2 linked regions of the Danio rerio genome follow. Each later gene encodes a partner of the first gene's protein in a complex. Links are inferred from orthologs where the notes say so. Each region holds a gene or a part of one and is shown on either strand. Other genes may lie near its edges.

Region 1 (3,931 bases):
ACAGGACCTTTAATTATGCACTTAAACAAAACTAAAGCTTACCTTTCTGTAGCAGTTTAGCGCAGGCATCCAGAAGAGCTCCAGCAATCACCACCACTGATGTAGTGCCGTCACCAGCCTCGATATCCTGAGCTTTAGACAGCTCAACCATCTGAAACACCCACAGATATCCCATTACAATGCAGATATTATCAGGATATATACAGAGGGAATCATTTGCAATTTGATTCAATTCTTAAAAGTCAAGACGCAATTCAAAACAAAAGCACTGCTCTCACAATTGAGGTGACTTCTTTTAGTATAACATCATCTCACCTAAAGTCAGTGTGAAATCTGAACTTGCATTGTTTATTTTGCTGGTGCACTTTGTTAATTTTTAGGTAAACAATTAATCCGTTCTAAATGTTTATTTTGGTAATCTTCAATCAAAGTCTGACCATTTGCTTCTGTGTTTGGATTGGCCAATTCTCTGAGGATGTCAGTTTGATGCTTCAGCCAAAATATTCTTAGCCACGCCTCTCTTACTGTTAATTTGCTATGAGCGAATAAAGCTGCTGTCATACTAGAGTTTGTGTGAGCAAAATTCTGTAGTACGGTACTGCAAAAAAGACCGGGATTAAACAAGATGATTAGACATTTAAAAAAGCGAGCGACTGGTCCGTATTTTAAAGTTCTGTCCAGAGAGGTCATGTTTTGATCCTCGATTGGTCTCATGCAGTCAAGTGATGTGATTTCGCAGGTCAGAGTTCGCCAAGCTTAAACTTTCCGATGCAGCAAACTGCAAAACTTGATGCACGAGCTTGCGTTTCCGATCTGACGCATTCAAGTGCATATGAATGAAAGTCTATGGGGAGAAAAGTGCAGTGTGACCGCAGCTTCATGCGAAATAGAAAGCCCCGCCCCCTACTTAATATTCAGTTTCAGATAGAAGTACACCAACATACTGAACTTCTGGCTAACGCAGTTTTTTTTGCCTTCATTTGTAAAGTATTTTTATATTATTATTTTTTTTATCTGTTCATCATTTATTAACTATATTGTCTGTATTTCTGGTATATTTACATTCCTCTTGTAGTGCTTTTGTAATCTGTATCAAAGCATTTATACAAAGCATTATTAATGAACTAACAAGGCCAAGCTCCGTAGAAAGTCTAACAATGTCAATCAAAAACAAACATGTTCAGGTTATTTCACCTAAATAAAGGAAAACAACTGTGATTTACCATTTTGGCTGCGGGATGCAGCACCTGCATCTGTTTGAGGATCGTGGCTCCGTCATTAGTGATGGTGACGTCTCCTTTCCCATCCTGGATCTGCAGAAAACTCAATTATTTACTCAGGCTACAGACAGTACAGTCACTTATATACAATTCAAGTCATGAAATAAATACATATAAAGTCAGGAGATTTAGACAAATAAAAAAAAAAGGCAAACATACCATTTTATCCATGCCCTTAGGGCCCAGACTTGTTCTGATGGCATCTGCGACAGCTGTCAATAGAAAAAGGATTCATCATTAGCCACCAATCCTCACTTGCTGACATTCACTCGTGTCCATACAGCAAAAAATCTTGATAGCAACTGTAATTATCGCAGCAGAGCCTGAAATACTGTTTGGTCATCATACATCTTTAAAAACTAAAAGATAATGCATTTAAAATCAAGTTATTGGCAAAAAAAAAAAAAAAAAACTAAGTACAAGATTTCTACTTAATTTTGTATTTTTCTGTTTATTACAATTTTTAAAATATTTTCCCCAACACGTGCTGTATTTGCTGCACTGATAACAGATGTACTAATATTTGGACTGATAGTTCCCGTTTTTGACTTTGGCACTGACTAAACCAATGGATATGCACAAATATATTATTGTAAGACGTCATATAAAAAATAATATTTTAAAATAGAGACCTGTGAGGGTTTTTATGTGATGTGCTTTAGACACATTTATGCTGAGCACTGATTATATACAATGTATTATTTTATTTTAAGAAGCCTCATTTTCCTTAACAGAAATTGGTGAGATGAACATTTTTTAATTACACTAATAACAATCACACAAATATGCACCAATAACGTACGTTACTTTTTAGTGTAACGTTAGCTACCGTTACATGTGTTGTCATAAAGAAGGCCACACCTTATATGGACTCATGTGAATCTGCATTGTAATAACCAGATTTAACTTCACATCTAATTTCAAAAACATTCACTTCTGCAAAAATCTAAATATTATTATTTTTACAGATACGGCCATGTTTATGACGATATAGCAATTTAATGGGCTCACGCTTCCGCTACATTGTCATGAGGTATACCAGTAAAATAAAACAAGTCCCTGTCAGTGTTTTACAATAAAAACTCCTCCTGAACGATCAGATTTCTCACCTTTCCCAGCGTTTATGTTGCTGTAGCGGATCTGGGCAGGTTTGTCCCGGTCCACATACGCGCTTCCTTTGTTTTTGATCCCGCTTGCAGCCACGACGGCTTCAGGCATGGCTGCTAATATTTATATGGTTTTAATCCGCGGAGATCACAGACGCAGATGGACGGTTCCCGGTGTCTCTAGCACGTCTGTCCGGTACGGATGGCCTCAGATTACGATCCGCTCCGAAAATCTCACGCAGAACCTTCCAGAACCACCGGTCGCGACGGGAACAGAAAAAGGACCCACGTGGCGCGTGATGATGACGTTTGGGGGTGTTTGAAAAACATGCCGCATGCCGATCACGGTTGTGGTGAATAAATGTGTTATAGTGCCTCCGTTACACACATTGATTTACTGCTATTTATAATATATGATTCGTTTAAATGCTCTGGGGTAAATCTAAAGTTCGCTAAACTCTAAATTGTGCTTGTGGACTAATGTTTTGGCGGCTTGTGGAGCGGCCGGTGTTCAGTGACTGAGGGAAGATTTTGAAGGGATTCAGTGAAGGTAATGTGACGTTTGGAAAGGGTTAATGTAGTTAGAGCTATTTGTGTTTGTCATGCACTTATCGTGTAATATAACTGATGTATGCTTCGTGTCTCTAGACAGAGATCTTTTCATAAACATTTGGTTGTAACCATATTATCATATCCCTTATATAATGGTGATTTAACTGTTATTAAGATATTTAACGCCATTGGGAAATATGCACATCTTAAGCTTAAGTGTAGTTTTTTAAATTATTAAATATAATTTAAAATAGCTTGAATGTTGTGTTATGAAAATGAACTAAATACTATTTTCATGTTTAATATGAATATTTAAATTTTCCAAAACTGGTTTTACTATAAAACCACAGGAAAATCATCCAAAACATGTCAAATTAGCATAAATAAAAGCTGTAATATTTGTAAAAGCTTTCACACTAGCACTTCTGGTCCGCACCCGGGTTTGTTTGACGTCATAGTATGGTACGTTTAGCCCAGGGGTCACCAATCTCGGTCCTGGAGGGCCGGTGTCCCAGCAGGGTTTAGCTCCAACTTGCCTCAACACACCTGCCTATATGTTTCAATTATACCTAGTAAGACCTTGATTAGCTTGTTCAGGTGTGTTTGATTAGGGTTGGAGCTAAAATCTGCAGAACACCGGCCCTCCAAACAAGTTTGGTGACCCCTGCGTTTAGCTAGTGTGAACGTGTTTTCTGAACTCGGGTGCGCACCCATGAACCGTACTTGAGTCCCCCTGAAAGAGGTGCTCTGGGGTACAGATGTGAATACCATCGTACCAAATAACAGAAGTGATCCACTAGCAGTACAACAAACTATTGTTTTCATAACGTTCGTATGTGTATGTGTGTGTGTGTCTATGTCACGTTTCGTACCTTGGTGACAAGCAGGACTGAGGTTGAGCAACGGCAAACACAGTGATACACAGTGATGTCTGCTTGTCTCCTCCAAAAACAGCTTCTGCAGATCGTGTGATGTTCTGAATGTTTAGAATAT
Region 2 (3,641 bases), on another chromosome or scaffold:
CAAACAAGGGTGAACACACTCACACACACTCACACACACACACACTCACACACACACACACACACACTGATGTTTAGTTGAGTTGTACTGTATTGTCAGTGTTTGAGTAATCAGTGAAGCGTTCGTCAGATGACTGTTGTGTGTGTTGTGGTTCAGGATCCCGCTGTGTTCGCTCATTAATCAGCATCTGGCTCAACTGGCCCGCAAGTTTCCTCAGAGTAAGTTCCTGAAGTCCATCTCCAGCACCTGCATCCCCAACTACCCCGACCGCAACCTGCCCACGCTGTTCGTGTACCGCGACGGAGAGATGAAGGCGCAGTTCATCGGCCCGCTGGTGTTCGGAGGGATGAACCTCACCTGTGACGGTCAGTGTATAAACAGATCAGCAATAAGACACCTCACTTACTGTCTGTCTTGTTTGTAGTCCAAATGTCTGTACATACTTAAATCAAGAAGCCTTTTCTAGACAAGCAAAAAATGTGTTGTTTTCAGAAATAATGAGTCAAAATGAAGAGAGTTTCTCCTTAAAACAAGCAGAATAATCTGACAATGGGGGAAGCCCAAAAGTGTAAATGAGATCAGGGAGATTATTTCACCTGTTTAAATAGAAAAAAAGCTGCTTTCCTGTAGTACTGACACATTGTGCTCAAAGTCAAATATTTAAAGTTTTTTTTCCTGATATACATATATATATATTATCATCTACACTCACCGGCCACTTTATTAGGTACACCTTACTAGTACCGGACCCCTTTTGCCTTCAGATCTGTCTTAATCCTTGGTGTAGATTCAGCAAGCTGCTGGAAATATTCCTCAGATTTTGCTCCATATTGTCATGATAGCATCACACAGTTGCTGCAGATTTGTCGGCTGCACATCCATGATGCCAATCTCCCGTTCCACCACATCCCAAAGCTGCTCTATTGGATTGAGCTCTGGTGACTGTGGAGGCCATTTGAGTACAGTGAACTCATCGTCATGTTCAAGACACCAGTCTGAGATGATTGAGCTTTATGACATGCTGCGTTATCCTGCTGGAAGTAGCCATCAGAAGATGGAGACACTGTGCTCATAAAGGGATGGACATGGTCAGCAGCAATACTCAGGTAGGCTGTGGCGTTGATGCTCAATTGGTACTAATGGACCCAAAGAAAATCTCCCCCACACCATTACACCACCACCACCAGCCTGAACCGCTGATACAAGGCAGGATGATCCATGCTTTCATGCTGTTGAGCCGAGCATCTGAATGTGTGAGCAGAAATGGAGACTCATCAGAGCAGCAACGTTTCTCCAATCTTCTATTGTCCAGTTTTGGTGAGTCTGTGTGAATTGTAGCCTCAGTTTCCTGTTCTTAGCTGACAGGAGCGGCACCCGGTGTGCTCTTCTGCTGCTGTAGCCCATCCGCCTCAAGGTTGGACGTGTTGTGTGTTCAGAGATGCTCTTCTGCAGAGCTCGGTTGTAGCGAGTGCTTATTTGAGTTACTGTTGTCTTTCTATCAGCTGGAACCAGTCTGGCCATTCTCCTCTGACCTCTGGCCTCATCAACAAGGCATTTGCGCCCACAGAACTGCCGCTCACTGGATATTTCCTCTTTGTCGGAGCATTCTCTGTAAATCCTAGAGATGGTTGTGAAATCCCAGTAGCTCAGCAGTTTCTGAAATGCTCAGAGCAGCCCGTCTGGCAGCAACCAAATCATTACCTGCCAGTACAGTCCTATGATTATATTCATATTTCCAATAATGTTGTGCTGAGATGGCCCGTCACTGTGAGGAAACTCATTATTGTGTAGATACCATGAATACAGTTTTGAGTTGTGATTATGTAATGACGTCATCACACAATGATGTCACTTCCTCATTTAACAATGTTTGCTCCCCCTTTAGCAACGTACTCTAGTTGGCAGCAGTGGAGGAAGTGTCAATATTTGGGGTTATATGGTTAATATCTGCGGTAATTGATCATGTTTGTGTGTTATTTCCCTTCTTGAGTATATGTGTGTGTGTGTTTGAGCAGAGCTGGAGTGGCGTCTGTCAGAGTCTGGAGCTGTGAAGACAGATCTGGAGGAAAACCCCAGAAAACAGATCCAGGATCAGCTGATGACGTCCATTCGCTGCTCGGCAAACACACACCGAGACGGAGAGGAAGACTCTGATGAAGACTGATGCTGAACACACACACACACACACACACGGAGAGGAAGACTCTGATGAAGACTGATGCTGGACACACTCCAAGACAGAGAGGAAGACTAATGTTGGAGGAACACACACACACACAAGTCCCTTACGAGTCTGTGTGCATTCGGGTTTAAGTCCCCACAAGGATATAAAAACTAGTACACACACACATACACTCTCTCTCTTTTGCACACAAATACACTCTGTCACACACAACAACACAATCTCACACGCAGGTCTGTTTTTAAGAGTTGTGGGGACATTCCGTAGGTTGTCATTGTTTTTCTACTGTACACACTGTATGTCCTCTCACCTGCGCCCAGGTTACAGGTTATAACTTCACCGTTACAGGAAGCTGTGCAGTTCTGCCTTCTGAAACCTCATTGTGTGATTTATAAGTACTTCTTAAGATATATAACTACTTTAGTACGTCCTCACAATTCACCTTCTCCAGCAGTGCCCATGACATTATACACTTCCCTTGTGTTTATAACACACACACACACACACACACACGTCTGTGCCATCCAGAAGAGCAGGAGTGGGTCTGAAACACACTTGTAAACCAGCCCTCAGTAAACAGACTGGTGGCCATGTTTGCGTTTGCTTTATTTTATATGAGATTTGTAATTATGCAGCCTTTTTCAGTTCAGCGCTCGTCTCCATTTAATATATAAAAGTGGTTTATTTGAGAGAGTTTGCAGTGTGTTTGTGTGTTAATGACTCTCTCACACACACATTTCCACTAAAGTGACGCTCGAGGACAGAAATAAAAACAACAATTTCAGCTCATTTCACTTCAATCTCCTGTCTGCGATGGACTTGAAGACCTTCAGCAATAATAGAGAAAACAGCAGCAAGCATGAGGTTACGTTTATTAAAAGAGCTTTAATGAAATCAGGTGCTGTTCATGATGTTTGTAGATTTACGGAGTCAGAGAGAATCCCAGATATGAACAGAGGATGTCTGTGGAGGAGAAGAACACATTCATTTACACAATTATCTCATACCTGAGTACAGGACTCGCTCCAGAATAGCAGTGCATTTACACCATGTGCCTTCATTTTCCTGGATATATAATAGATGTGTCATTTACAGTAAACTTAATCCATTATTATTGTGAACTAATGCAAGACTGGAAACGTTTGTTGCTAATCGTTTAACTTAATTTTTAAACGAATAACAGTTGATGATAACAGAATTGATAATAGGAATCAACAACAACACATTCGACGGTGACAGAGGTGCAACAGTAATAAAGTTGACCATAACGGTTAACAGAGTTGAAAATAGAGTCAGCAGTCGACAGTAACAGTTGGCAACAGTAACAGAGTTGACGGTAATAGAGTTGATGGTAACAGAGTTGAGGGTAACAGTTGATGATAACAGTAAACGATAAGAGTTGACGATAATAGAGTTGACGATAACAGTTGATGGTAACAGAGTTGACGATAACAGTAAC

What was found.
Region 2: the proteins of cct4 (region 1) and pdcl3 are in contact, whole or in part, in a cryo-EM structure (PDB 8I9Q), measured with the Homo sapiens proteins. The link is inferred for Danio rerio from reciprocal best matches to the Homo sapiens genes CCT4 and PDCL3. Residues at the interface, in NP_006421.2 of Homo sapiens: Val266, Gln271, Met272, Leu276, Glu279, Arg280, Leu312, His315; in NP_076970.1 of Homo sapiens: Ala70, Ile71, Tyr74, Arg75, Arg78, Leu79, Trp82, Lys86.

Annotation. Positions count from the first base shown.
Region 1 is NC_133176.1:57,157,633-57,161,563, forward strand, and holds the start of cct4 (T-complex protein 1 subunit delta), read right to left. Parts: upstream 2,655-3,931; 5' UTR 2,499-2,654; coding exon 2,390-2,498; intron 1,493-2,389; coding exon 1,440-1,492; intron 1,314-1,439; coding exon 1,224-1,313; intron 152-1,223; coding exon 43-151; intron 1-42. UniProt on the Homo sapiens protein: Component of the chaperonin-containing T-complex (TRiC), a molecular chaperone complex that assists the folding of actin, tubulin and other proteins upon ATP hydrolysis.
Region 2 is NC_133184.1:58,526,396-58,530,036, reverse strand, and holds the end of pdcl3 (phosducin-like protein 3), read left to right. Parts: coding exon 1-9; intron 10-156; coding exon 157-365; intron 366-2,015; coding exon 2,016-2,164; 3' UTR 2,165-2,198; coding exon of another isoform or gene 2,199-2,219; 3' UTR 2,220-2,876; downstream 2,877-3,641. Other genes in the region: nms (neuromedin-S), read right to left, coding at 3,105-3,145. UniProt on the Homo sapiens protein: Acts as a chaperone for the angiogenic VEGF receptor KDR/VEGFR2, increasing its abundance by inhibiting its ubiquitination and degradation.